2 linked regions of the Medicago truncatula genome follow. The protein of the gene in region 1 interacts with the protein of each later gene in a biochemical or structural test. Links are inferred from orthologs where the notes say so. Each region holds a gene or a part of one and is shown on either strand. Other genes may lie near its edges. The genes, in order: peroxisome biogenesis protein 5 and peroxisomal membrane protein PEX14.

Region 1 (15,726 bases):
CACGACTTTATTGACTTATGATTTTGGTGTTTCTCCTTGGTTTATCCAAGATATGTTTTTGGATTTGGTTACCTCACTTGCCAGTTTTCTCTTTTTCAAAGGGTATATATGTAACAAGCTGGCTTTAAAAAAAAATGTAACAAGCTCAAAAACTAGTAAGCTGTAGCTTGAGAGTGAGTAAATAAGAAAATATCTTAAAATATCATGATATTATAAGATTAGTTCTATATTTCCTAGTTATTATCATGATTTGTTTTCTAATGTCCCTATTTATTTAGAATTAGGAGTTGTGTATCCCTATAAATAGAGGTTAGTGTTTAATCTTTTGTAACATGTTATTAACAATAAAATTACACTATTAGCATATTCAATCAAAGTCTTCATTATTTATCTTCTTCTTTTATCTAAAACTCAATTTCAAATTACAACAAAGTCGTATCTCACTAGGTGGGGTCAGCTATATGGACATATCTAAATCATAATGTACTTTTAGCAGACATGATATTCAGGAAGCATTCAATTCCACTTACATCAGCATAGTACAAAGAATCAGACATCTCAGGTGGGGCAATCGTTCCATATTTTGGGTGATTTCGTAGCCATCCAAATAGATACTTCAAAGCAGCATTTTGCTCCAGTTCTGCAAAAACCAACACATATGTTCAATAATTTTTATTTAGGAATCCAATGTTAAACCTACAAGTCATTTGCATCAATGCTTACAATAATAAATTCACTAAAATAGAAGACAACAACAAAATGGACTATTAGAATCCTAAGCATGAATAATAGGAAGTTAAGTAAATATAAATATTTTAGTTTCTCAAAAGATCTCTCCAAAGTCCAAGCCCTACAATTTCTATTGAATAAAAACTTAAAAAATTAGAAGAATTGAACACAAAATCAATTCAAGCGTCAAAGCATGGTATGACAAAGCAGCCTTTGAATTTACATTAATTTTCTATTGTACAAGATATCATTTATTGAGATATCAGAAGCAGTCAGTCACTGACCATTTGTATGACTGACACCAAGAGCAAGAAGCACCTCCAAGTTTGTTGGATCAGCCTCTTGTGCACGCATCATCGCTGCAATCGCCTGTGTAGGTTTGAAAAGTTTTTACAAAAGCTATAAGTTACTGCATAAAGAAGCATGTAAAATACAAAGTGATAGATCAATCGTAGTATAACTAAGAAGAATGTGGTTGACTAAACTGTATAATTAACAATAAACATTCCTGTAAAAAAGGGCGAGGTAGAGAAAGAAAGCAAAATGATTTACTACAAAAACAACAAAGAATTAACAATATGATGCTATACAGTATACTCTATGGAAATACCCATTTAATATTATTTTTGTAAATATGAAATGGTCAACAAATATAAACTAACTGAAACCATTTTATGTCAAATTTATAAAATTCACAGGATGAAATGATTACCGCATACGTTGAAAAATTACATCATACTATATAAAGAAGCAAAATAGAATAGCATATTTAGTTGGACAGAAACACTGTTCTGCTATAGGCAGTTGAAACATAAATACAAATAAATTGATAAAAAATTGGTAATTCTGTAGAAAATCTGTACAGCGCCATGTTAATGTATTATTTGTAGTGGTTAGTAAAAAACAAATGTTATAACAGTCTACACAAATAGGAGAGTTTATCAACAAGAAAGCATAACCTAACCTGTTGATCATCGTCATTTTCTGCATGTGCTATTCCGAGTAGTCTCCATCCTTCGGAATTTTCAGGGTTTTTCAAGACTTCGGCTTCTAGTGCTAGAACTGCTTCACTTAAAAGCCCTTTCCTGAACAGATCTTGGCCTTCTTTTAGTGGATTTGGATGACCAACATAAGGATTTAAATCTGAAAACACATACACACCCCTTGAACTATCTGACCGCTGCTTGGCAGCAACTTGCTCATTCAAGAACCTTCACATAACCCCAAAAGAGATTCTGATTAATTCAAGGGAATAACCTCCATGCTGGCATTAAACACTTTCAAGTTTAAGGGGAACGTAAGTGGGCACAACCCAAATATGTAGTGTTACAATATAGTAGCAATATCTTATATTTTTTTATGAATTACTTCTATTATTATAATACATTACGTGATATAGGTTATAGGTTAATTAATTACAAATGGAATATACATCCGATCAATGCAAGGTGTCTATCATAGTGATTTACATTGATAATCAATGAATGTTGAGTTTCTGCAAGTAATTTCACCTTTCGAAAAGGAGAAACTGGTATCTTTGAACTAAAAATAACTAGGAAAAAGGGAATCAAGAATGATAAGAAATATCTATCTTCAAGGGGAAAGGTAGAAATCAGACTAAAACATTTAATTAATATAGAATTCTAAATAGATCAGCCTAAAACAGATTTCCAATCTCTTCGCAACTTCCAATTCTATTCATGGAAGTCCGCATAATGGTGTAGTCCAGGGTTATTCAATAATTACTTGAAAGAAAAGTTGTTTTTCTTTGATAAATGCAGTAAATAAATCTTTATGTAAGGGTGAAAAAATATTGAAATTCAATTAATGAAAAAGTTTGACTTACTCATCATATGCCTGAGCCCAATTATCCGAAGAGCCTTCCCCAAAGGCTCCTTCACCAATCTGCTGACCGAATTCCTCAGCCCAGTCATTAACATGCAACTTCGAGAATTCATCAACCCACTGGTCATCAGCTGCTCCATTTTGTTGTCTTTCTGTTGCAAATTCATTCGCCCACAGTTCAGGTCCCGCTCTAGGATAAGCCTTCAATCCACAAATCAGTGTCCAAAATTAGAGAAAAAGGACTTGTCAATTAGTTAATCCTACTGTTGCACCAAGACTCAACTCTCAACTTTAATGAAGTACTGAATTCAAAAGATAACACAATAACTTGTTCACAATGATGTAGGCACGCACAAGTAATAACAATGGTAAGTCTATAATGTTTAACATCCCGAAGAAAAAAAGAGAAATAATATTCTTGGAAATCAAAGTGATAGAACCCATACTAACACCTGTTTCCCATATAGATAGGACTCCTCAAGAACTCAACACAAAACTTGGATAACATTTTTGAAGATAAGGTGGGGTAAAAGCATTTATATTTTAAAGGAAATGCCTCTTCCTATTTTTGTCTCATACACATTCAGCAAACAAGAAAAACATCCTGATAAATATTAGTATTTTTTAACTGAATATAAGCCGATCAATACTCGATAAAAAGCTTGCAAATGAATGTTGTTTCCTGCTTATTGGACATGCCTTATTATTTAAGAATTCACCAGCCCATGCATCACCATGATTATACTGCTGCTGGTATTCTGTTGCCCAATCTCCAGGTGCGGGTAATGCAGACTCTTTAACTTGATTGTCATCGATAATCAACTCACCACGGCTCATCTTTGATACAAATTGAAGGAACTTCGAGTTCTGCATACCAAAAGAACATGTTATTGAAATTTTGTATTTCAGGTTTCATAAAAGAGGAAAGAAAAGCCACAAGAGGATAAGATGTTTTGTATGGCAAGGACACAATAATAAAGCACAATAAAAATAGGCTCATCAACATAAAGGTTGTTATTCCCTCCATGATATTTATACATCAACAAAAAACCCCGAAAAACAACAACATAAACAGTAAACAAGCATAGAGATTTTTCCTCACTCTTGTAATCTCCCTTTTCATCGCCATAAATTTTGTAATAACTCAGCTGTTTTATTAGGGAAAAAACAACATACTCCTAAACCAGCCAAAGCACAAAAAATAAAAAATAAGAAAAAGAATGATGCAAAATATCAAGTCAAGACATCTCCTGGCAGACACCTTTAGCTTTTACACTCAAGGAGGCCAAGAATACCGTTCTCTATCAAAAGAATTTGAGACGACTAAGATACTGTCACAAAACTCGAGCATTACACTCCAGAACAAAACAGTAAATAGCAGCATATTACTGGAATAAACTTCCCTGGTGCGATAAATGAGGGATAATTGATGTTTGTTGACAAGTTACTCTTGTTGTGCTAACCTAAGCTAGATGATTGAATCTTATAAACGAGAGATTGTTGATTCAGGTAAATGAACATAATAGTCATGTGCCTTAAAATTGCCAGCTTTATCATACAATAAGGAAAATTTGACAAATTCAATATCTATCAACAATATTCAATTATTCACAATGAAAAGAGAAAATTAATTTAACAAGAAGGTAAAGAAAAATATTACTGAACTTTCTATCTTTAATGTCATAAATAATAAAGTACTGGATTGCAATATGTTGTGAAGTATAAATTGAACAGTCAAGAGCAATGGATGAACCTGAAATTTAGGGTCAGCATTCTGGGCCAATGTATTTGCAAGCATACGAGTCTGCTCCATAGCAGCAATGTTGGACATGTTCATACCTCGCATTTGATCTACTGATGACAATTGAGACTGAAAGATGTAACCAAGAAGAAGAAAAAAAATCAACAATATAATATAAAGTGGAATAAAAATAATGTAGGTGTAACATTGAGAAATCAATGAATAGAAAATATTTAAAAATGCCAATATAAAACTAGCCTACAGATACCAGCATCAAGACCGATGAAAAAAGAAGGCATTGCATCGAAGACATATTATGTGGACACACACGCATGGCTGCCCGCATAAACACCATTTTTTTTTTCTTTCTGTTACCGGCTATATTTTACTTCGATCCCACCCATTTTCAACATTCTGATTGAAATTATAATAATCTCAAACAGAAAAGAAATTAAACTACAACTCTGCTAGATATATTCTGGAGCTGTTCATCACACAGCTCTTTCTTTTGATGTGTATGCTGGGAGGGCACAAGAGATGGACGCGAACATCAAGACCAAGGAAGAAATAATATGAAGAATTATTTTGGAAGAAAGCTATTGCTGAAGAAAGGGAAATAATTGATTGTGAAACTGAAACTAAAAGGAATAGCCATACAGTGGTGGAAGCAACATTTTAGGCTAGGAAACCCTAAAATTTAAAATTGCTAATAAATGGAGACCATACAAAGGAAGCAATTTCAACCGAATAAATATAAGATGTACTTATTCAGAAGATTTAATAGACTGACTAGAAATAGGTATTACATGACTAACGTTATTTCGAATTTAGAGTTTGTGCAGATTTCACCGCGAAATACAAGAGTAACTCTACAATGTTTGCTTTCTTAGTCAGTTCAACATAACAAGTTTCCTCAACAAAGATAAAGGGTTTGAATTGCATGTTATTGATAGATTCAATATTATGCTTGAGTGCAGATATATGTGACCGAGAGAATTAAAATTATAGCTACAAATAGAACAGTGAAGACTTCTCACATGTTCAAATTCAGAAGCCCAACCATTTGCACCATGCTGTTGCTCAAATGAGTTGGCCCATGCATCGGGATTATCATATCTTTCCCTATTTTGACTGAATTCGGTAATCCATCCGTCTGAAGCATGAGCACCCTGTATCAGGTTTCCTTGAGACTCGTTCCAATAATCTTCAAGCTCCCTATGTCTTTCAGGCATAGGGCCCTTGCCACGGACATTGCTGTCAATATCTAGAGAGGACAGAAGAGCATTTACCTAAAAAGTAATACATGTGATAAGTCTAGAGATACATAATCAATACTCACTTTTGCCCTCAAAGAAAAGTTCAGTCTTCAGAGCATTATGTGTGTATGCAGATAATTAATTTAATAATCGGAAAAAAAGTAAGCGGAAACTAGATGAAGGTATCCGTGAATTTCCTTACTTGAGCATGGATAAATTCTTCACTTTTATCTGCAAAGAGATGCCTAGCCATTATGCTGCTACGGTCACGTATACATTGTTTATCGCCTTCAGATAAACCCAATACTGGAAGAGGGGCAGGATGAAAAGGTATTCCACCGCGACTGCTGTCAAGAAATGAGTGCAAAAAGGTAGATAGAACTCTTTGCGGTGTCCCTGACATATTGGAAAGAAAACAACATCAATTTGTGTCTCTTTTTTTATGTTAACCATCTCAAAGCATCAAATAATATGCCCATCAACTGTAAGAGCTTATTTAAGCTTATATTACAACATAGGCATTTCATTATAATATATAAGCTCCTCAAAATAGCTTATAGAAATAACATATACAGTTTCTCCTCAATCCCAGTTGAACAAAAAGAACAACTTATGCAACCTCACTTTTGGGATAAAAAGCACTTAATGGACTTCTTTACTCAAACACATCCTTAAAACACAAAACAAGACAATCCAAAGAGGAAATGAACTTTGAAATTACCATCCAGTGTGGGTTGATGAAGCTGTGGTGGTAGCTGTCCCCTACCATCATAGAGCCGGAGTTGATTTCCATCACCTTGTATCTCATCCCACGTTTCATCAAACCCACCCGCACCCGCAGACCTAAACCTATTCAAAAACTCTGAACCCTACACCATCCAAAATTCATATTGAAATTCAAATAACTAAACAAACCAAATTCATCCAGTCAATATAGATACAAGTCAACCAACACACACATAAACATAAGCATAAAGCCTGATTTTGAAATCCAAACCATACACTATTCCAAATTCATACTACGTACACTACTCTTAAAATTCAAAACATTGTAATCCAATTTGCGTTTTTGACAATAGGAAACATATCAATAGTTACTAAAGTGAGTTTAGTAAAAGTATTGTGTATTCGTACACCTTCATTGCATTTCTTAATTTGTGTAAAAATCTTAAACAACGCTCATTTCAAAACAGAGGGAGTGTAAGTAAACCAATACATACACAAAAAGATAAACATTTAAGCAGAAGGAATAATTCCAAACCCTGCACCGCTACAAAAATGAATAAATTTAAAATAAATAAACCAACCAAATTAATTCATACATTCGATTTGAGCTGTGTTATTGGAACATCAAAATACAAACACTATAAATGTTTATCTCTAGCTCTCATACTTTTTTATCTTCTACAACTAACACACATTTCAAAAATACTCGTAAGAGCCAAAGGATGACATACTTGATATAAAAAATTAATTTTTGCATTTAAATTAGATACAAGTCCATGAAAACATAAATATAAACATAAGCATAATTTCAAATAGTTTTACACCGTGATCGAATAAATACACATCATAATTAATTAATTGTTTTAATCCTGACCTGAGAATTAGCATCGAGAAAAGGTTTATCGAATTCGGAACCAGGTAGCTGGGTATGAGGTTGAGAGTAAAATTGCGATGCAGAAGGAGTGGATGTTGATGTAGGAATTTCCTTCAACCTCTCCTATAATAATATAATTAAATTAAACAATTCAGTTAGTTATGAATTGAATAGAATTGAATTGAATTGAATTGAATTGAATTGAATATGAAAGAGAGAGTACCTGATTTTTTGAGGAAGAACCGAGGAGAGCATTAGCAAGAGAACCGAGAGGGTTTTGAGAGGAAGAAGAAGCAGAAGGGTCAGGACAAGAAGTAGCACCTGTGATAAGATCACGCATCGCCATAGTATATATTCAACTAACTAACTTTATATTTTATATTTATATTATTATGATTATTCGAATCAAAATAGAAGAATTGAAATGGATTGATGAATGATAGTTTTGATTCTCTATCACTCGTCAAAGCCCTTTTTTTGCAGCAGCTGGGTGCTGCTACTACGTCTTGTCTCTCACCGTCCGTGTGTTTGTGTGTGTTTTTTATTTTGGTATTTGTTATCTCTCTATCTATCTATCTAACCTCTTTGCTGTCTGTGCGCTATAATAATGCTTGTCTCTCATCTTTTTTTCCTTTTCTTTTTTCTCACAATTTTATATAAACAATATTTTTTTTTTGGCAGAATACCAAAAGAAAAAATGAAAAAAAAAAAAACCAAGAACAAGACTCTATGGGACATCAAGCCTCAACTCTTGTGGGACAACGTGCCAAAAAGTCACATCTAATCTTGAGGAGCGCCTGAGCTTGGTAAAAAGAATTGCGCAGTGGTTGCCCTCTCGAATCATGTTAAAAAAATGTTAGAAATATGCTCGTTTAACCCAAAAATATTCATCCACAAAGAGACGTATACATGTATATGAGAGTGATTTGGATCGTAAAGAAGACAGAGAACTTCTAAAGAATCTGTTACGCAAATAATATGTTGAATAGAGTTGTTGAATACCAACAACAAACCCCAGTAAACAATCAAATAATAATACCAAACTATGCTTGAACCAAAAAAAAATAAAAAATAAAAAATATGAAAGATAATGAAGACATTACATTATACATTCTTCCCTCGATAAAAAAAAAGTCATTACATTATACATATAAAAGTTAAAGTTCAAATTTCCTAACCCTTTCGTTCATTTCTGTGAGTTTATAATAGCAATTTTTATTTTGTTTGTCTAGCAAAATATTAAATTAGTTAGAGTTCAAATCCTCAACCATTGTCAAGTGCAACCCCCTCCTTTGTTACTTAATTCTAATTTAAATCGTAGTCGTAAATAGGAATTTCACAATCCTTTTATAGACGAACTGATTATAAATCTTATTATTCTATGAACTCGCTGCCGAGCAACTTTCTATCGGATTTGTTCGTGACGCGCTATTGAACTTCCACTCTATGGTTGTAATTATTTTGAATTCTTGTGTTGTATGAGCTTGTTAAACCAGACACGCGGTTAGAACAAGTTCAAATCACGAGTCTCAAATATGTTAGACCAAGATTTGATGAAAACAAAGCATATGAGAATAATTAGATACATTATGTGTATTTAAATGTGTAGGAAGTTCTAAGAAAATGATGATTTTCCTATGGATTGTTCTAAACTCTAGACCTTGATGAAAAGTTATGTGTCATAGATAAAGACGAGACTTTTGTATCAAGTTAAAGGTCAAGTTATGTGGAATGCAGGTCAATGCTTTGTGGTCAAAGCCGCTTTATCAAGTGTTAGCTAAAGACATGTCACTGATACAACAACTCTTTGCTCTTAAAGGAAACTTAGTTCCTGACTTATGTAACTCAGGAAAAATCATTAAAGTGCATCAATGATTGAAATGAATGTTTGATTCACTAACTACTCTTAATGAGAATATCACAACAATTACTCAGTAAACTAAAGACAAAATCTCTTCAGCAATGGTTATCATCTCACGTCTTCCATGTAATGGATTTGATTTGGCTGAAGAAACGTTACACAACACCCATATACAATATTGTGAATCATTCTATATTATTATCATATACATTGTCTGGAAAATAAGAAAATAAATACAGAGATATACACTCTCAAGTGTACTAAGCTCAAATGTTTACTGTTGTTATAGTTTGTGCAAACACAAGTTTATTTGTAATCCTCTTGTTTGAAGTTAGGAAGTGTTAGGAAGTCCTTTAAGTTGAGACCATGAAATTTAAGACGAGCTTGCTATAACAGGTTTTTGTAATTTGTTGATTATAGTGAAAAATCTCTCAGAATGCGAGAGGGCATAAAGTAGCTATAGTTCAGAGAATGAACTGGGATAACTACATTTGTGATTCTCTCTTCCCTTACCAAACTTTCTTCAATAGTATGTAGACCTGGAACGTGGTGGTGGTTGCTTGGCTTGTATGGCTTCCACCACCAAACCCACTAATGGGGTTTTGGTCACCAACGCCATCACGAATTGTTTTGTTCCACAAGAGTTTCTCGCTCTCGCCGCTTTGGTGATGTCTTGTTGGGTCGCTGGTGGTGTTAGTGGGTTGTCGGATCGTCTTGAAGTCGTCATTCTATTTGGGTTTGTGTTCGTGGGTTGTATCGCAACTTGCCTACACTGATTCAGAAGGGTTGTGTTTCTATTGTTCGATCGCAGCTGTTTTGTTTCATCTCTTCATCACCTATTGTTTTATTTCGTTGTTTTTCAAGCTTTTTTGTCTATTTTTTATCAGAGATTGGGGTGGTTTCGATTCTGACTTGTGGTTGGTTTCGTAAACTCGAAAGGGTATGTTGGTTCTTTTAACCCGAAAGGGTATGGTTAGCGAAGAACGCGTTGACCCATTTCTTGGTTCAATACGTGTTTAAGGTGACTGGTTGTGTTTGGTTCCTGCTCTATTTGATTCTTTGATGCTTCAGATATGTTGAGATCTGCAGGTCTCAAGGTGTCAGATGTGCCTCCCCTCTGTTACTGGTTTGTTTAAGTCATGTCATACTGTTATGTTTGAAAGAGCTTCATACTTGCTGACAAGATCAGGGAGTTGGTACGTGGATCCGGATTTCGTGTTGGCGGCCGATCCATTCGCCACTTTGAACCCTAATTTCTCTGTGCATATGTCACTCTTTTCCTTTTTTTTTTTTTTTGTAAATTTGGTTTCGCGCTTGTACGCGGGTTCGCCAGATTGCGTTTGAAACAAATGTTTGTTTGTTATGATTGATTTGGGTAGATTTGATTTATAACAATGTATTTTGGTTTGGATTGTACCTGAGTCAGGTTTAATGTCCCCCCAATCTCTTTATACGCCTTTTTTTTTTTAATATATTTTTCCTTTTTGTCTAAAAAAAATGACTAAATACTTTTTCTTGAATTTTTTTACATTTCATGTGTGTACCTAAGAATATTGATTTGTGATTGTGCCCATGAAAGATTTTCTCATACTCACTTAGAAAGAGCAAAATCGATCAACACTTAACATAACTAAAAATTCAATACACTCGTTAAACATGTCACGATGAACAATGAATATAGAGAGGAAAATGATTTTGATGTTATATGGAAGAGCACAAAGGTAATCTCCGCGGCTACACTTTAAAAAAGTTTTTATTTTATTTGTTTGGTGCAGGACCATGTGTAACGCCCTCTTTGAATTATTTGTTTTATTCGATTATTTTTAATGAGTTTAGAATATATTTAAATGATTATGTGATTTATTAAGTGGCTTATTTTAGTATTTAATAGAATAAGATTTGAAAATAAAATAAATATTGAGATGTGGAGCTGTTTTGGAATTTAGAGGAGTTTAGTGAAAATAGAGGAAATAAGAAAAATAAAATGAGGAGAGATATAAGAAGAAAACTATGTTTAGAAACTTTTTTTACGTGAAATTGCTTTTTGGAGAAAACGGGAGAAAACAAGAGAAGAGGAGAACCAAGAGAGAGAGAAGCCGCCGATCATTCATTCTAAGGTAAGGGTGGGACTAACATTCAATAATCTTAAGTCATCGATTCTGGAAATTGGATTTAACATGTTGTAGGTTTTAGTTTTTGAGAATTTGGGAATTAGGGTTAAAAGTGGTTAATTGATGATTTTCTAAAATAATGTTTTTGGGTCAAGTTTTATATGGTTTTGAGTCTCTTTTGATGTATATAAATGTTTAGACAAACTTTGGGATCAAATTTGGGCATATGGAAGTCAAAATTGGGATTTTTGGGTGAAAAATTGGTTTTTCCCGAGAGCTGCACAGTGACAGCATCTTCTGTTCCATGTTCTCCGGTCTTTTTCACACGTTTCCATTTTGAACTGGGTTTTGGTGTAAAAATGAAAGTCGTAGATAATTTAGTTATCTTTCCAATGGCTTTGGTTTGGAGTAAAAATGATTTTTGGTTTAGGAGTTATGATGAAATTACTCCAAGGAGGTCTTAGTGAATTTTCACGAATTTCAGCACAACTTTGTCCGAGTTTGAAATGAAAACTGGTATTGATTGGTACATAATTAGTCTTAGGTGTAAACAAGAAAGTTGTAGGTATGTATGTTAGCTTTCTAATGCCGTTGGTCTGACGTCAAAATAATTTATAGAACTTGCGTTATAGTTAAATTACTGAACGTAGGTCACAGTGAATAATTGATTATGATTGATGAATTAGTATATGTATGTATATGTTTGTGAATACGATATTGTCCATGATTAATGAAGTGTTATATGTATATATGATGTTTTAAGATGTTGATTACCATTTGATGTTGTTTATATTGTGATATAATTATATATGCATTACTTGAATTATATGTGAATAATTGAGACGTTGTTGACTTGCATTTGATATTATTATGTCATGCTGTTTTTGTATACTGTTGTGTCGCTGTTGTTATTTAACTAAGCTGCATGAGTCGGTCCAAGTTGATTAAGATGATGAAGTCCAAATTATTGGATTATATAAGATTAAGAAGTCGAGTCCATGCATTAGCATTTCAGCGATAGGGGCTTGATGCTCCGGAAGTATAATAATACTCAAATAGCGATTGGGGCTTGATGCTCCGGAAGTATAATAATACTCAAATAGCGATTGGGGCTTGATGCTCTGGAAGTATAATAATACTCAAATAGCGATAGGGGCTTGATGCTCCGTATTGGTACCACATGCATATAAGAGGTCTAAGTTGCATAATCGAGTTGGAGTCACATTTGTCGAGTCAAGGATGTTTAAGTTGATAAGTTGTGAAGTTGTAATTGTTTATACAAACTATGATTGAAGTGCTAAATGATATAGTACTATCTATAATGAATATTAAGATGATTTGATGTTGATTAAATATAATTGTTGAATTATATGCTTAATATTATTGTTTTGTGAAATCTCACCCCTTCTGCTTGGAAATGTTGCTCTTCGTATGAGTAACTTGCAGGTGATCGAGTTTCAGTTGCTGTTGTGAGTGGATTAGCTCTCATGTGTGTCTTTAGGTGCTCTGATACGTAACGGGATGGGAACTTTGTTATTACTTTTATATTCCTTACGTATTGTTTTTGAAGATTCATGACTATGTTTTTAGATTGGATTTTTATGAGACATTTATAAAGAGACCTTAGTGGCAAAGATTGTTTTTAGTTATTGAAGAAATTCCGCTGCAAAGTATTTAAGATTTTGTTATTGAATTTTAAAGGATAAATAGTTATTTATTCAGTTTATGATTTTAAGAAAAGAATGTGATATCCCGTTTATGTTGTTTACTCTGATAAATGTTTAGAAATTTTCATATTGGGAAAACGGGGTGTTACAATTGGTATCAGAGCAGGTCGGTCCGTCCAGCCAAGTAGTTGAGTAGAGTTGTGTCGATTAACATTGGTATTAATGTCTTTATGCTGTTTGATTGGTTGTTGTTGTGTTTCTAATTGATAGATATGTTTATTATGTGATCATGTTTGATTGACTAACTTTAATGTGGTTTATATGTTTTGTTTGAAGTTTCTATTTGGCTATATATAGTTTAAGATATTTAGGCAATGATTGAATTCTTTTCTTGTGTGTTTTGAATTTCGAGGACGAAATTCTTTTAAGGGGGGTAGAGTTGTAACGCCCTCTTTGAATTATTTGTTTTATTCGATTATTTTTAATGAGTTTAGAATATATTTAAATGATTATGTGATTTATTAAGTGGCTTATTTTAGTATTTAATAGAATAAGATTTGAAAATAAAATAAATATTGAGATGTGGAGCTGTTTTGGAATTTAGAGGAGTTTAGTGAAAATAGAGGAAATAAGAAAAATAAAATGAGGAGAGATATAAGAAGAAAACTATGTTTAGAAACTTTTTTTACGTGAAATTGCTTTTTGGAGAAAACGGGAGAAAACAAGAGAAGAGGAGAACCAAGAGAGAGAGAAGCCGCCGATCATTCATTCTAAGGTAAGGGTGGGACTAACATTCAATAATCTTAAGTCATCGATTCTGGAAATTGGATTTAACATGTTGTAGGTTTTAGTTTTTGAGAATTTGGGAATTAGGGTTAAAAGTGGTTAATTGATGATTTTCTAAAATAATGTTTTTGGGTCAAGTTTCATATGGTTTTGAGTCTCTTTTGATGTATATAAATGTTTAGACAAACTTTGGGATCAAATTTGGGCATATGGAAGTCAAAATTGGGATTTTTGGGTGAAAAATTGGTTTTTCCCGAGAGCTGCACAGTGACAGCATCTTCTGTTCCATGTTCTCCGGTCTTTTTCACACGTTTCCGTTTTGAACTGGGTTTTGGTGTAAAAATGAAAGTCGTAGATAATTTAGTTATCTTTCCAATGGCTTTGGTTTGGAGTAAAAATGATTTTTGGTTTAGGAGTTATGATGAAATTACTCCAAGGAGGTCTTAGTGAATTTTCACGAATTTCAGCACAACTTTGTCCGAGTTTGAAATGAAAACTGGTATTGATTGGTGCATAATTAGTCTTAGGTGTAAACAAGAAAGTTGTAGGTATGTATGTTAGCTTTCTAATGCCGTTGGTCTGACGTCAAAATAATTTATAGAACTTGCGTTATAGTTAAATTACTGAACGTAGGTCACAGTGAATAATTGATTATGATTGATGAATTAGTATATGTATGTATATGTTTGTGAATACGATATTGTCCATGATTAATGAAGTGTTATATGTATATATGATGTTTTAAGATGTTGATTACCATTTGATGTTGTTTATATTGTGATATAATTATATATGCATTACTTGAATTATATGTGAATAATTGAGACGTTGTTGACTTGCATTTGATATTATTATGTCATGCTGTTTTTGTATACTGTTGTGTCGCTGTTGTTATTTAACTAAGCTGCATGAGTCGGTCCAAGTTGATTAAGATGATGAAGTCCAAATTATTGGATTATATAAGATTAAGAAGTCGAGTCCATGCATTAGCATTTCAGCGATAGGGGCTTGATGCTCCGGAAGTATAATAATACTCAAATAGCGATTGGGGCTTGATGCTCCGGAAGTATAATAATACTCAAATAGCGATTGGGGCTTGATGCTCTGGAAGTATAATAATACTCAAATAGCGATAGGGGCTTGATGCTCCGTATTGGTACCACATGCATATAAGAGGTCTAAGTTGCATAATCGAGTTGGAGTCACATTTGTCGAGTCAAGGATGTTTAAGTTGATAAGTTGTGAAGTTGTAATTGTTTATACAAACTATGATTGAAGTGCTAAATGATATAGTACTATCTATAATGAATATTAAGATGATTTGATGTTGATTAAATATAATTGTTGAATTATATGCTTAATATTATTGTTTTGTGAAATCTCACCCCTTCTGCTTGGAAATGTTGCTCTTCGTATGAGTAACTTGCAGGTGATCGAGTTTCAGTTGCTGTTGTGAGTGGATTAGCTCTCATGTGTGTCTTTAGGTGCTCTGATACGTAACGGGATGGGAACTTTGTTATTACTTTTATATTCCTTACGTATTGTTTTTGAAGATTCATGACTATGTTTTTAGATTGGATTTTTATGAGACATTTATAAAGAGACCTTAGTGGCAAAGATTGTTTTTAGTTATTGAAGAAATTCCGCTGCAAAGTATTTAAGATTTTGTTATTGAATTTTAAAGGATAAATAGTTATTTATTCAGTTTATGATTTTAAGAAAAGAATGTGATATCCCGTTTATGTTGTTTACTCTGATAAATGTTTAGAAATTTTCATATTGGGAAAACGGGGTGTTACAATTGGTATCAGAGCAGGTCGGTCCGTCCAGCCAAGTAGTTGAGTAGAGTTGTGTCGAGTAACATTGGTATTAATGTCTTTATGCTGTTTGATTGGTTGTTGTTGTGTTTCTAATTGATAGATATGTTTATTATGTGATCATGTTTGATTGACTAACTTTAATGTGGTTTATATGTTTTGTTTGAAGTTTCTATTTGGCTATATATAGTTTAAGATATTTAGGCAATGATTGAATTCTTTTCTTGTGTGTTTTGAATTTCGAGGACGAAATTCTTTTAAGGGGGTAGAGTTGTAACGCCCTCTTTGAATTATTTGTTTTATTCGATTATTT
Region 2 (15,730 bases), on another chromosome or scaffold:
AATAAGTTAAGTTCGATCACCTATATTATCATCCCGAATCATTAAACATTAAGTGATTGAAGGGACTAACTTATTCTAACGTGAATAATATTTTGGACCAACTTGAAATTTTGAAAACGTAAAGGACTAGCTTAAAACTTCTAAAACATAAGAGATCAAACATGCAATTAAGTCTTTCTCAATATGACCGCATGTTGCAGTGCTAGGGAAGATAGATATAATTTACTCTCAAAGAAAAAGATATAATTTGTGGTTTAATGGTCTATATGGGTACTTTTGTGTTTCTAAATTAAAAAGAGACAATCGTGAAACACAATGCCCCCTAAGAAAAACATGAAACACAATGTGACCATCTACGTATACCACCACGAAACATGAAACAGAACATGAAAAACAGTTCACCTATCAAAATTGCGGATAGTGTAAAATTTGAAAGATTAAATATATTTTTAGTCCCTATAAAATCACGAGTTTTTAAGTTTAGTTCATATAAAATGTAAATAGAGATGAAAAGTGAATAACTTTTTTGTAGAGACTATACTTAAAAATTTATAATTTTAAGGGATTAAAAACATATTTAACCCAAATTTAAAAGATAGAAAGATATGTAGTTAACTTGTTTCATAAACCCATGAAACTCATATAAGTCATGTCACTTTACGTAGGATTTATTTCTAAAATGTGAAAGTCACATTAATTTCATTTGATAAAAATGAACGGTATAGAAAGTGTTCCTAACATATAACTCAGACTTTGAATCTCCACTTCATGGATTTAACAAAATTCACAAAAAATAATCTAGAAGCGATTCATTTTATAGTTCAAACCTTATTTATGGAAAAATTACACAATTTGTCCCTTAACTTAAATTTAGATAACACTTTCATCGTTTATTTTTTTTGTCCCAATTTAATCCTTTATGTTATAAAATGTCCAAAAAATAATCAAAACTCAAAAAAATTCATCAAACTCAAAGAGACCTAAATCTTCATAATACTTGCCTAGAAAATCAGATTTCATTGAAAAAAGCTAAAATATAAGATATTGTCATTTTATAACATAAAGACTAAATCAGAACAAAAAAGATAAAAGACGAAAATGTTATTCAAAATTAAGTTAAGAGACGAATCGTATAATTTTGCCCTTTTTTATCTTAGTTAAGTTTAATACATTATCCTTGATGCCACATTATAAAATATCTTAGTTAATTTTGCACTTGATGCATACACCAGTTAGTTGGCATTTCAGTCACCTAATTGTTGATTTTGATGTGCGTAATATTCTAAAGATTTTTAAATATTTTGACCCAAGAAAGTATTTTTTTTATAAATATGATAATATATGATAAAAATAATAATCGCATTCCATAAGGGTATTTTGCAGCTGCTAGCCGGTAACTATAAAAATATGACATACATCATAAAACCTATAATAGCGCATACTTCTGCTAGTACCATATTCTTTCATGAAAAAGACACCCACTTATGCATCTTGTATTGATATCCAGTTTATGAAACATACTGTGTCCAGTTTATCCAGAATTTGGGACTACTTCAAGCTCTATTTCCAACTTCATGTTTCACCTTAATTTCTATTCATATGTTGTTTCATGGTCTTCTTGTAAGACTTGTATCTCACCAGAGCCGACATTGCTTCCCTCTACAGCACCTTCAGATTCCGACGGTTTTGGGATCTCATGCTCCCCATTAGAGATGTCTGAAGATTGAACTACTGACTGGTTATCTGACGCCTGTTCCTTTTGGACAGCCTGTTTTGGGCGCCTGATTGCTTCTGCAGCTCCCGCCATAGCTATCGGTGGAGGTTGAGGAGGAACCCACACACGTTGTAGGGGCTGCTGACTGGATGCAGAACCATTTGGTGCTCCATTATACTCAATTTCATCAATCTCTCTGATTCTGACATTTTTCTTCTGCCACCAGGGAGTTGGGTCATCCCCATTTGATTGAGTGGTATCTTGGACCTTGATATACGATTCTTCACCATTTGCTTGAGGCTGAAACACTTGGCTAGACGTGTTTTGAACCTGCCCAATCTCCCATGGCTGCCCAAGAGAAGTTGAGACACACAATCAGATTCATGTTTCTAATTAATGTTTCAATAGATGTGTTTGCCGATACTTGTTAGAATAGAACCAGAATTTTACAAGTTGTATAATTATACTTTTCACATTGATGGTCAGCAATCAGAACCAGAAATTTCTAGGAACCATTGCACGAGTTATATTAATAGAAAATCCTCAAAGATGAACCAAATCAAAGTTTAAAAAAAGAATCATTGCATGAGTTATATTAACAGAAAATCCTCAAAGATGAACTAAAACAAAATTTTAAAAAAGACGTATTTAACTTGGTTAAATAAAAAACTTCATAAAACTAAAGTAATTAGAAAAGGCAAATTTGTAATAAACCTTGGATCTAGGCAATATGCGAGGATCTGACGGCTGTTGACTAGGGTTGGGGGGTAAATCATTGATCTCCTGCATTAAAACACAGAGTATTACAAAAGTAACAAGCCACATAAAATTGGTAAACCTATTAGAGAAGAGCAATTTTAGTTTTAAACCATAATCTTTTACCTCACAGTGACACCTTTCCTAACATATCAAACTTTAATTACTTTTTTTCCTAATCAATCTTATAATTTTATATCAATGCTGCACAAATCAGGTTTATGATTTTAACATGCAATTAAGTTTTATCCAGATTAAAAGGCTTACTCTGATATTAGAAGGCTTCTCCCCTCTTTGGACCATGGCCATTATCTGCAAAAGATAATTGTAAAAGTCAAACATAATATTACAAGCATTCCGGAAGATGAATAACACTGTCCTATCAAATACGAAGAAAATGTACATTCATTAATTACTGCAGAATTCATTATTAAATTAAAGATATACATACGTATTGGAGATTAGTTCCTCAACTCAGGAAGATATGTGTAATTACAGAATTCTCAGGAAAATTCAGAAAAATAAATAAATAAAAGATAAAAATTGGGGATCTGTGAATTGTGATGCCTAGAGAATTCAATTATTGCCTAACTCTTCTCACCCCCTATCTTCCCTTTAACAATTTAGTCCACACTTTCTAGGGGTGATACCACAATCACTCCCTCCTCAATTTCATAACACCAGCTACAAAGTCCTAACTGTTAAAAACTTCACATTGGTTTTTTCATCTGCAATGAAGGTAGTGACAGTCCCTCTACAACCTTCAACTTTATCCCTTCTTTAAAACACATGCAACCAACCAGTCTTTACATTCATCCCGTTTGAATGCATGCCATCTTTCTCCCTCCTAGAAAAAAACTTGGATCAGGGACATATCAGCTTGCTGCTTAATGGGCAAAGCAATATAATGCCTTCTATAATTCAGACCACAGGGGAGAATGGATTCAACTATTCGGAAAAATTTATTATATTCCCACCAGAATTAATGCTCAGTCCATGTCAAGAATAATATTTGTATATGATATATGAATAGATATTGTGGCGTTGTTTGATCAATATAATCAACTCTACCTAGCAGATCAAGGCTTTGATTGATGTTTTCACCGTACTACTAGAATCAGTGTATAAATGGCAATATTAGATCCCTTATACCAAAGCAGAGATTGGGAAAGCTGGCTGATGGTTTATAGAAAACAAAGGAAATACTAATTTTGAGGCTTCACTCAACTTGTGTTGCAGGGAGAAGCAGACCCTTAGATAGTTTGATTGCAATCCAAACAAGAATAGCTAATCTTAATCATGGTTATAAATATGATGTCTTTGAAAAGGATTTGGTTGATAGTTTCGAGAAATTAAATTAGAGACAGAAAAGAAAATGTACAACTCGAAGAAAAATGAAATATCCAAGAAAACAAAAATAAATAACAATAAAATCAGAAGAAAAGGTTCAGTACCATGAATTGAAGGGAGCATTCTCATGAAGGATCAAACCAGTGTATTTATTAATTAAAAGAGACAATAAGGAGAATGGCATTTGAAGCAAATACTCTTAAATACTTCAATCAGCTAACAGGTGAGTTAATTGGACATTAATTATGCAACCGATACTCAAGATTGTAATAACCATTAACCAGCACCAACAAACAAACAAACAAACAAAAAATATCACAATAGATTTAAATCACTGTTTCATTTCATCCAGTTAAAAATTTCCAATTTAGCCCACCCTGACTTGGGTATTTTCAGAAGCAAAACTAAGAAATACAACATAAATAACAGAAAGTTATAATCCATAGTCGTATCCCAAAGCAATTAATGTCTAAATGTTATATTTTGATTATTATAATAGAAGTGATCTACAAGACATGAAGACAATGCTGAAATGGCAAACATTTAGATATGAATCAGAAGTAAAAGGCAAGGCAAAGCAAGGCAACTAGGTGAAAAACAATTAACTACACATGCAAATATGCAATATAAAATACTACCTCCATATATGACTTCGGATGAGGAGGACCTGATGGTTCAACAGGTGCAGGTGGGGATAATGATCTCACTGCATACAACATTCTAATGATCGGTAACATAATTCAGAATAAGACTAATTTAGTTAAGATCTAATAATCAATATTACAACCTGAACGCAAGTCATAGTCCGCCTTGCCATTCGCAACCAGTTGCTGCATGTATTTAAAATAAAATATGCCGGCAAAAGTTAAACAATAGACAACTCAAATCAGGATCAGAAAAGGTGTGCAAAATTTTTCATAAAAGAGAACGAGACAGTCCCCAGAGTTCTATTTATATCTGACCTTCAAACTTGTTTGACTGACTCGGAGATCTTCTTGCCCTGAGACAGATATCATAAGAAGGTACATTTTGTTCCATAATTTGGTAGAAACAGATATTCAACAATAACTTCAAAATTCTAAATAACTGGTAAACAATTCCAGCATATATACACAATAATTTGTGACATGATGCCACCAAAATTTATCAGGAAGCCTAAAACAGTTTTATGAAATCAAATTCAAGGGAATAAATGGCTTTCCTGATACAGTCATAAAGCCAGAAATCGATTTACAATATTAAAAACATAGATAAAACTTGTCAAAGCTCTTGGTCAGCATGAACCACCATGTTGTACTCTTAAGGGGTTATACATAACAAGTTCCCCAATTACACAGCCACATGCTTTATTAACAAATACACGAGCTCTATTGGCAAGTCATAAATGAAAACCAAAATAAAATATTCAAAGCATTGGAAACTTTTCAGGTCAGCCCAATATATTAAATGGTAATGCCCCATTACCTTCCAATCTTCTTATTGCATTTGTCATTAACTTCATTTCTTGTACTTGCTTATCTAAAAGACCCACAACTTCCACAAAGTATTTCCTTTCTGCAAAGCATAAATCAGATGTTGCAATGACAATGAGCCAATAATTACAGTAATTTCTCAGAATAAAAGATGCTCAGCAAGAGTAGAGGTATCAAAACAAAACGAAGACATTTTATACAATGCAAATTAAAGTTCCATAAAACCCACCTTCACCCTTTGAAGCCAACATTTCTTGGCTTGCTTTTGCCACATCTGCAGCTGCGGCTGCTGCTGATTTAGCAGCTTGAGCGGCTTCTTCAACCAAAGTTGGTTTGTTGTCAGTTTTCTTTGATTGTTCATCATCTTCGTCTAAGACAACCTTGCGTATCCATGATTTTAACCGAGGAAGAAGTGATTTCTAAAACATGAAGTATGCTTAAAGTTCAGAAGGATAAAAAAAAATGTGATAAAACTTGTACATTTAACAAGATATCAAGTACAAGAAAGGAAGAAAAAAAATGAAAATAGCACTCAGCCATTAAGATACTGATTTAGACGGCATCATGCATAACAGTTGGTGGTAATACCTTAATTATTAAAACTGTTCCAGCACCTGAAGCAGTCAGGAATCCAACTAGCATAAGGGCATGGGACCAGTGAAATCTGGTTCGTGATAAGGCTCCAGATGAAGTATTAACACCAGTAGAAGCAGGTAAAACTGGCTGCAAAGTTTGCTGTTGGGCTTGTTGCTGAACGTTTGATGGTGACTTCAATTGACCATCTGTTAGCATTATAATAGCCATGTTCAAAATGTAACTGAAGCAAGAACACATCTAGTTTATTCGAAACTAATCCAATATATATTTCACGAGCAATCTGACTCAACCCGAAGGAAAAGTACAACATTTAAATGTTTCACCTTGAGTTACACCAGATGTCTGCACAGTTGGAGCTGAATCCTGTGATATTTAATCAAGGTAAGGATTAAAAAGATGAACATACGGGAAACTGACTGAAAGATAATTAGTTTACAATAAAAAAGCACTGGCTTACAGGCACACGCCGAAAGGCTTCATCAATCTCCTCCTTCGTAAGACCCTTCTTCTCCAAAAATGACCGCCTGTACATGACGGGCGAACCTTTAACTTTTGGGTGTGATAGAAATTTCACAGCATTCTGAACTTGTTCTTCCCGCAATGGTTCTGAGTTCACAAAGACTGATGTAGATGAAATGGGTTTAACAGACTCATCTCCGGCATTTTGCTGATCCATGTTTGACGGTTGGATAATATCAGCACCTAAATCTCAAAAAAGAGAGTCAGCAAATCAATGTTATTATAACCAAAACAATATATCTGGCAACTTATCTGTAACATTCTGCTAGCAAATTCTATCAATCCATGAAGGGAAAATTCAACAACGGTACAGTAAAATGATGACAGCAACATAATCTTTGGTATAAGAAAAATAAGGAATCTGTTGAGAAATATAATTTATCATTACATGTCTGTTGCTTCATTTAGTCATTACCAGCAGTTCACCCTAGTAAATGGTATTAGTCTTGTCATGCTATTGATTAAGTATATAACTAACAATAAAGTTGTCGAGGTTTGGCATTAAAATTAATCATCAGAGTATCATTTGAAATACATTTTCTCATTTCTCTTGATGGTCTTGTGGTTTTCTCTTTTCCATGTAATCCTTGTATTTGTATAGGTTAAAAAAGTCTTAGAAAGTGGCAATCAAAATCCTCCATAAAAGATTGTACAATATAAATAAAGTTGTAGCTTCCTTGTTTTCCTTGGATTAGAATAACATGGAAGTATATTTAAATTCCTCAGACACCTATACTTTGTCCCATTGCAAGTTTTGTTATGATCGGTCTAAATAAACGAATCCACCTTAGGTTTCGTAAAGGGCCTGTGAGAATAATGTATGTGTAAATATCATTACCATATTAACCCATTTATCAGCCAAACTCCAAAATAATAAACATAATTACTAGCCTAAATTTGCTGTTATCAGTGGGGCTTGTCGTTTACAGATAAATTCCAATGAATTATTTTCTAGATAACTCAAAATGAATTAGAGTCTATTTGCAAAAACTAACTAAATTACATAAAGTCAGAATATAAAATATCATGAATAAATAACCTATAACTTTAAATAAAGGGTCATGCTAACAATTGCCCTGTTAAGGATTCAAAACTAGAAATGATTCATGAATTTTATGTTGAAAAAGTTACTTTTTGTTCTTTCAATGTGTTGAATGCACAATTTCCAAGGTAAAGTTCCCATTTTAAACTTCTTAACTAGCATTTCCCTTAAATAAATGGGGCTATAGGAGATCAATTTAAAGGAGGCACATTGAAATTATCCAATTGAAACGATATAAAGAATAGCGGACATGAACATATCCAATTGAAATGAAGATCAATGTTGTTGACTAAGCTAAAGAAATCAAGACAGCATCAAAATTATGCAAGTTGTAGAAAAATTACCAAAAACAGATTAGAAGTCACATAAATATCACAACCACAATATTCTACATTTCCCAAAAACTGATTACTAGATTACCAAGTCATATGATCCTTCCAAACTAAAAGTTAGGGACAGACTCCAAGAGAAAGTATGCTTTCCCTAATATTCTGTTTGGAAATTGAAACCATAAATTGCCGAGACGCTTCTTCAAAATAATAAATTGTCGAGACCAAAAATTGAAATGTTTGGAAAGTCAAAATTAAAATTTTCTTTAATGATCCCAAACCACAGTTTAAGGGAAACTTCAAGAATCGGAGAAACCGAGAAACCGAGAAACAATATGAGATTGCCATGGTGTTGATGGTCAATCACCAGACACCTGAGGTGTTAACTCAGTGGTAAGAACTTAGCCGTATAAGCTCAGATACTTAGTTCAAACTTCAAATCCCTCGGAGACGGTATTAGTGTCAATTTGATTAATAAAAATCTCCCTCTTCCCCAATTAAACAAAAAGTGCAGCACTGAGATAAATCGATAATCATGTACAAGAATTTCGTATTAAAAAAAAGAAAGAAAAAAGCAAAAAAGTGTTATTGAAAGTGAAAAGTAGAATCGATAAGATACTAGTGGTGCAATTACGGATTCTAGTGCGATCGATGATAATAAGAGAGGTGAAATGAATAAAAAAGGAGATAGAAATTGAAACCTTGATTTTCATCGGTGGCGGTGGGAGATGGAAGAGGTGGTGGTGGTGATGGTGATGGTGATGGTGATTGGGTTGCCATGAATGAAGCTACTCAATCCTTCCTTAGCGGTTGGGATGACAGTGAAGCGAGTGAGTGGATTTTGTTGAATTGAATAAAACAAAGAGAAAGAGAGTTTGGGTTTTATTTGCACTCCTCCAAGTATATCAGTTTGTTCGAAACATGCCAAACTATTATGTTTCTCTCATCTCTTTTATGATCTATCTATTCCATTCCACATCTTTTTTTGTGTTTTTGTGTGTGTGTGTGTGTTTTTTATTTATTTTTTATTTTTTTATTTTTATGTCTAGTCAACTTTAACTAGTTATTTTATTATTCATTTTTTCCTTGATTTTCTTTTTAAATACCCAAGCTTCTTCATTAAAATATTTCAAAAATCTTTTATGTGGGAATCACCATCATCATCATAACCATGTCTTCAATGAGGCAGCCACCCCACCTTTGAGGATGCCGACAGAAACACACTTACTAGCCCCATAACCAAGAAAGAAGTGACAGCCGCCCTTCACTCCATGAAATCCTACAAAGCCTCTGGTCCGGATGGGTTTCAATGTATCTTCTTTAAATAGTATTGGCACATTGTTGGAGATGACGTCTTCAACCTTGTTCACCCGGCCTTCCACACCAGCCATTTTGACCCATCCATTGAGAAAATGCAAACTAGATTAGCCTCTAGGAAGAACAAGCTTCTCAACAAACCGGGTAGATTAGCCTTAGCTTCTTCTGTTTTATCATTTATCCCTTCGTATTACATGCAGATTAATTGGCTCCCCCAAAGCATCTGCGATAGCATTGATCAAACAACACGTAATTTCATATGGAGAGATTCTAACAACAAAGGCATTCATTTGGTTGGTTGGGATAAAATAGCTAAGCCAAAAATCATGGGAGGCTTGGGTATCCGCTCATCTAGAAGAATGAATATTTGTCTCCTTGGTAAATTGGTTTGGGACATGGTTCAGCACTCCACCAAGCTATGGGTCCAATTTCTTACACACAAATATTCAGCAGCCCCACACTTGCTCCTCGCCACTGATCATCCGAGTTGCTCCCCCACCTGGGCAGCCATTGTTCGTACAAAAAACTTGCTTTCCGCCGGCTATGCTTGGAGACATGGCAGCGGTGCCTCCTCCTTTTGGTTCACTAATTGGACCTCCACAGGTTACCTAGCCAACATCGTCCCTTATGTCGACATTCATGACCTCCACCTCACCGTCAAGGATGTCCTTACCTGTCCCGCACCTCACACCAACATTCTTTACACCTCTCTTCCAACTGAGATTGCTAACAACATCAACAATACGGATGTCACTTTCAACGATGTCATAGATGACACTTTTGTTTGGTTTCACAACAAAAATGGAGTTTATACTGCTAAAAGCGGCTACGATTGGCTCCTCTCCCACCCAGTTGCCGACACCAGTGCCAACCCTCATCAATCTTGGACCTGGATTTGGAATTTGCACCTCCTGGAAAAATATAAATTTCTTGTTTGGCTGGCTTGTCATGATGCCACTCCTACTCTATCTCTATTATCGCATAGAAACATTGCCCAATCAGCTATGTGTACCTGTTGCAACCAGCAGGATGAGTCCTTTCTTCATTGTATTCGTGACTGTCCTCACTCCTCCAGGATTTGGTGCCACTTTGGTTTCAATTCGGATGCTTTCTTTGCGGAAACAAGCACCCATGTTTAGTTAAAAAATGGCCTCACAGGTACTCAATCTTTTACCTTCACAGCATGGGTTTGGTGGGCTTGGCGTCACCGCAATTTAATGCGTCTCAACAATGAGGAGTGGTCTCTTAATCAACTTGCATTCAATATTCAGAACTCTATTGATGTTAACCGCATCCTTCCTGCATAACTCTCTTTCTCAGGCCACGGACACCGTGGTAAAATGGAATTGCGACATCCACTCTTATTATATTCTCAATGTTGACGGGAGTTGTCTTGGAAACCCTCAACATACCGGATTCGGTGGCCCCCTTAGGAACAGTGCGAGATTATTTATCTCTGGTTTTTCCGGGAACATTGCCAACGCGTCTGACATTCTTTTGGCCGAACTCCATGCCATCTTTCAAGGTCTGCGAATGGTTTCAGATATGGGAATATCTGATTTTGTGTGCTACTTCGACTCTCTCCACTCTGTTAGCCTTATCAATGTCCCTTTCATGTCTATGTCACTCTGTTAGCCGACATAAAGTACCTCGTTATTACCAGCAAGGCTTCTGTTTTTCACACTCTTCGTGAGGGAAATTACTGCGCAGATTTTCTTGCAAAGTTGGGAGCGGCTTCTGACTATGTGTTGACGATTCATGTCTCACCTCCTGATGGGATGATTCAACTGACTAAAGATGATGCTTGGGAACTCTCTTCCCTAGGGCTCTAGCCTCAGTTCTTTTTTTCTTTTTCGTTTTCTGTTTTCTTTGCTTTTCGTTTCTTTTACCCTTGTAACCAAAAAATTTCTCCATTAAAATTAAACATAATGTGATAACGTAAGTTTCAAACATTGATGTTTGTTAATATTTGATTGAATATCATAACATACTAATAAAATTTTAGATCTTATAAGTACAACTCAACTCCAATACATTAGATATGATGAGATGTAGATTCAAACTCGCAATTCAATTCTTAATATTAATATTAAGTGTGTGAATTTTGCCGTTAAACTTCTTCGAATAGAACTTAATATTAAGTGTGTAAATTTTATAGCTAAACTTCTTCGAATAGAAAAAAAAATCATTCAATCAATTTTTTTTTGTGGTGATCGGGGTTTGAACCACGAATCTTACATATACTATGCATTGTACCTACCAACTGAGCTAAATTTTCCGAGCACATCTTATATATTGATTATTATTTGTGGATGACAGTTGTTAAATTAAATATTATTAGTTGTTGTGTCTTTTCCTTTTTAAGTATCATGCCGTGTCATAATTTAATTTAATAAGACGTGAATGTTTTTTTATTTTTTTATTTTTTATTTTTACGTGAATGTTGAAGATTAGATATCTTGCTATGATGCTTCACTAACCATTTTTCATACATATCATTTTACATTCACGGAAGAGTTGCTTACAAAAATAGATGGAGATCATATGATTCTATAAGTTAGCAAATCAATCTTGTTAAATATTTAAAAAAAAAAAAAAAAACTGATCAAAACATATCAAAATCTTATTATAATTAATCTGAAAAAAGAAGAATCCGATTAATTACATTGTATCTACAAATAAGGTAGCATAATTTAGTACAAATAAATCATTAAGCTCGAATCATTGAATTTCAGCCCCATAAAACTACCACAATGACCAGTTCTTAATCAATTATGCTTATTACCTAGCTTTTCTAGAACTACATTAAAGCACATTCACAGTGTTTCATCATTAGTCCTCATTAACATCAAGAAGAATCTCAAGTGACTTGGTTTTTCTCTTCCGAACTCTGCCTGTTTCCTTCAACAACTCATCCAACCTTCTCTTCTCATCAACAACATCAAAGTGTGCTGTCCCAAGTTTTTCCTCCCTCACAACTACAATGTACTCTATAATATCAATTGCATCGTCCACCCTGAAATAGAATATCATAGTACATGAACAAAATAACTTTCACATAATCATTTCTTATTTGGTCATATCTAACCTAAAAGTCTCAAAAACCATGAAGCAAGAAACTACATACCATACCATATAGCGTGGGTTGGTTTATTCAAATAATAGACATTATACTAATTTTCAACATTAGTGGTCCTACTTGATTATTAGATCTAGTCAAATATATATACAACATCACAAATAGCTACAGCTTGCTTTGGATAATGCCTCAATATCATGAAGACAGTCACAAACTATAAAATGTATACCTGCCAATTGCATCATATGTGCCAGCAAGATTGCTATATACGCCAAGAGTTTCAGGGTGACAAGGACCATACTCTTGTTCCAAAACAATCTTCGCTTCTTCGAATAATTTGACAGCCTCACTCAAGGCGTTAAGTTGCACACAACAAAGACCCATTTGATTAAGAACAAAACCAAAGAAAGCCGATTTTTTCTCTCCTGTGGCGCGAAGCTTTGAGACGGCATTCTTGAAAGCATTGTAAGATTCAGTCTGGTTTCCCAACACATAGTATATGACCCCCATTTGAGCTTCAATTCCTGCAATTGTGTTCTGTTGGCCAGGGGCATCATTATGTATCTCTAATGCCTTGTGCAGTAACTCGAGTGCTTGTTCAAGCTCATTCATTGACTCATAAATAGCTGCAACATTCACAAAACCACTAGCAATCTCCTCAGAAGGGACACCAGGCATGGGATTTTCATAGATTTTAAGTGCATTTTCACAATATGATTTTGATTCCCTTACCTTCCATGTCCTATTATACAACTCAGCCAAACGTACTAAGACCGATCCAACCGAAGGATGATTCCCTCCTTTGTGAGTCTTGAAAACCGCTAACGCCTTTTTATATGCCAAGATGGCCTCATCGTATCGAGCCAATGATAGGAATGTGTCTCCAATGCTGCAATCAACAGACGCCACTTCCACTTCTTGGCCATTTGATACCATTGCCATGCTTGCTAAAACAAGGTGCTCCAATGCTGCTTCATGATTTCCATTAGTTTCACATATAAGACCTATCAATCTTCTATCCGCCACCTCTTCAAGAGAAGAGGGTGAACCATTTTCTCTATGAATATCAAGAGCAATTTGACACAGCCTCTCAGCCTCATCAAATTGCAATGCTTGAAAATTAGCTTCTGCTATGTATCTACAAGTTTCACCAACTCTTGGATCAGTTACTCCCAAAACCTTTCTTTGTACTTCCAACCCATTGTTGTAACACATAATTGAATTCTCAAGTTGGCCTAGCATAGCATAAGTGTCTCCAAGTTGCATGTGACTGGCGAATTTCGCAATAGCATGTTGCTTGCCTTCCTCAACGGCAGGAATTTCGATTGATCGCTCTAAAATTGGAATTGCCTCATTATAATGACCCAAACTGCAATATATTGCTGCAGTAACATGTAAACACATAACCAGATCCAAACTCGGTTTCCCATTCGCAGATTTCTCAAACAATTTCGTCGCTTGAAGTGATAACTCGAGAGCTTTCCTCGGGTTCTCTCCTAACGAAATCAAATCCCTTGCTTTCTTTAGTAAAAATGGTCCAAGCTCAGGATTATCAAATGTTGATTCCTTAGAATCGTCGACTCGACTTTGTGACCTTGATCTTCCAATAGAAGCAATCTTAGGTTTTACCGCACGATTAGTAACTGTTGTACTTTGTTTTCTCAAAGGATTGTTTCCATTCTTCCTTTCAACAGGAGGTTTTGCAGGAGGATTTTTTCCCTTAGCTCTTGATATTGATGGTGTTTCACTGCTAGAGTCCCTGACTACCTTTTTCACCATTTCCTCTTTCACTATCTCCAACTTCCTCATTTGTTCTCCACTAATATGGCTAAATTCTGAATCAGTTAAAGACCAATCACTATCAGATCCAAAGCTTTGACTTGAGCGTGTTCGACGCGAACGTCTTGCATCATGTACAATTTCATGAAACCTCTCAACACTTCTAGGTGTTTGTGGGCTCGATGGTATTCTTGGTGAATTGATTTTATTATAGATGTTCTTAGAGGGTGAAGGGTTCTCAAGTTCATTCATTTTATTTCCTTCAATTGGAACAACACTTGGCATCTTTGATTTCCTAGGAATCAAAGAACCTACAAAAATAAATCATGGTTAAGAATCTACAAAACAAAACCCCCCAAAATCATTTAGGAATAATAAAAAAACACATGTTATAAGACAAATGCATGCAAGGGTTTAAATCATTGAATTAAGTTAGAATTGCATGTTACAATAACTTTTTTTGACAATGAACAATATGAACAAGTTGTTCATGATTAATTAAAAAACACATGCATAACCAATGATTTAACAAAAATAAATAGACGAAAGATAAGAAAATCATTAAATATATGTTCCAAATTGCCATTTTCTGATATTGGGATTGGATGCATGAATAGAAGACAATGGATTGAAAGAAAATAAATATATGAGAAGAAATACCTTAACAACAATGAGCACCAAACCAAGAGAGAAATATGAAGCGGAGATAAAAACCAGAAGGAAATGTAAAACAAGAAGAAGGATTGAAATCAAAACATATTAAAGAAAAGTTATATAAAAATAAAAGGATTTTTGGTTTTGCAGAGTTGGAATGGAACTTCTTCACAAACCAACTAACTGCGCGCAACCTGCAACGGTCTGTGATCCTCTGCTTTGTCATTTTCCCCCTTCCTCTAACTCCCAATGCCACATGGCATTCCCATATTTCAATTTATTTATTAAATAAATATAAACCCTTCTTTTTTGGTTACATGAGAGAGAAGAAAAAAAAAAGAACTAAAACTAAGTCTTAAAAAAGGACACTGTCCGCTAGAAGCGTCCAAGACAAACTAGGAAAAATTCATTAACAATAAATCAAAGAGTCCACATAGTTAGCTCCCAACTATGCAAGAATATCCACACAAGCATTCCTTTCACGAAGAGTATTTTTCAAAACAAAATCCAATCATTTTTTATGTAATCTTTGATAGTCTCCACCATATTAACATTATTGTGATATCGATATGTTCTACCAACTTGACCATATGAAGGGATTCAGAATAACAAATAAGTTTTTTAAAACCCGCTTGCCAACACAACTCAATGCCAATTAAGAGGACTTGAATCTCTGCATGTAACACGTTCGAGATACTTTTCAGAAGGTTGCCTATCCCAAAATTGCTCAAAGTCAAGCACGTTTAATTGTGGATTTCTTATGAAATAACTACCAAAAAGAAGATGCATCTTGTTGGTATATGTAGTACCAAACAATTCTTGTAAGCTTTCCTTCGACCAAATAGTCTCATACCTGCACGGCTTCAGGAACCCTCTCATTTCAAAGTGGATTCGGTTTGCCTAAAAGGAGCCGCTCATTTGCCATGTCTTGTGCACCGACGATCAGTATCACTCTCCGACTTCGTCCTCATCAACGTCGACGTTACAGTTACGGTTGTTTGTTTTAAGGTTTGAAATTATATTCCCCAAAATGATATTTATAAGAATAAAATTTCCATAAATAATATTCCAACTCATATATTTGGTAATTTTTTTTATTTCCTTAGAATGTTTTTAAAATGG

What was found.
Region 2: the proteins of peroxisome biogenesis protein 5 (region 1) and peroxisomal membrane protein PEX14 form a complex in vitro, tested with the Arabidopsis thaliana proteins (2 studies listed by BioGRID, with this or other methods). The link is inferred for Medicago truncatula from reciprocal best matches to the Arabidopsis thaliana genes PEX5 and PEX14.

What each region holds. Positions count from the first base shown.
Region 1 is NC_053044.1:1,903,140-1,918,865, forward strand, and holds the start of peroxisome biogenesis protein 5, read right to left. Parts: upstream 7,518-15,726; coding exon 7,395-7,517; intron 7,295-7,394; coding exon 7,172-7,294; intron 6,441-7,171; coding exon 6,293-6,440; intron 5,968-6,292; coding exon 5,774-5,967; intron 5,605-5,773; coding exon 5,353-5,604; intron 4,445-5,352; coding exon 4,328-4,444; intron 3,442-4,327; coding exon 3,274-3,441; intron 2,776-3,273; coding exon 2,576-2,775; intron 1,941-2,575; coding exon 1,694-1,940; intron 1,099-1,693; coding exon 1,014-1,098; intron 641-1,013; coding exon 531-640; intron 1-530. UniProt on the Arabidopsis thaliana protein: Receptor that mediates peroxisomal import of proteins containing a C-terminal PTS1-type tripeptide peroxisomal targeting signal (SKL-type).
Region 2 is NC_053045.1:51,886,238-51,901,967, forward strand, and holds peroxisomal membrane protein PEX14, read right to left. Parts: upstream 8,722-15,730; 5' UTR 8,560-8,721; coding exon 8,481-8,559; intron 6,592-8,480; coding exon 6,347-6,591; intron 6,253-6,346; coding exon 6,213-6,252; intron 6,075-6,212; coding exon 5,881-6,074; intron 5,712-5,880; coding exon 5,522-5,711; intron 5,375-5,521; coding exon 5,285-5,374; intron 4,821-5,284; coding exon 4,783-4,820; intron 4,651-4,782; coding exon 4,608-4,650; intron 4,527-4,607; coding exon 4,459-4,526; intron 2,783-4,458; coding exon 2,738-2,782; intron 2,498-2,737; coding exon 2,429-2,497; intron 2,063-2,428; coding exon 1,592-2,062; 3' UTR 1,335-1,591; downstream 1-1,334. Other genes in the region: protein KINESIN LIGHT CHAIN-RELATED 3, read right to left, coding at 11,929-12,112, 12,405-14,239. UniProt on the Arabidopsis thaliana protein: Component of the PEX13-PEX14 docking complex, a translocon channel that specifically mediates the import of peroxisomal cargo proteins bound to PEX5 receptor.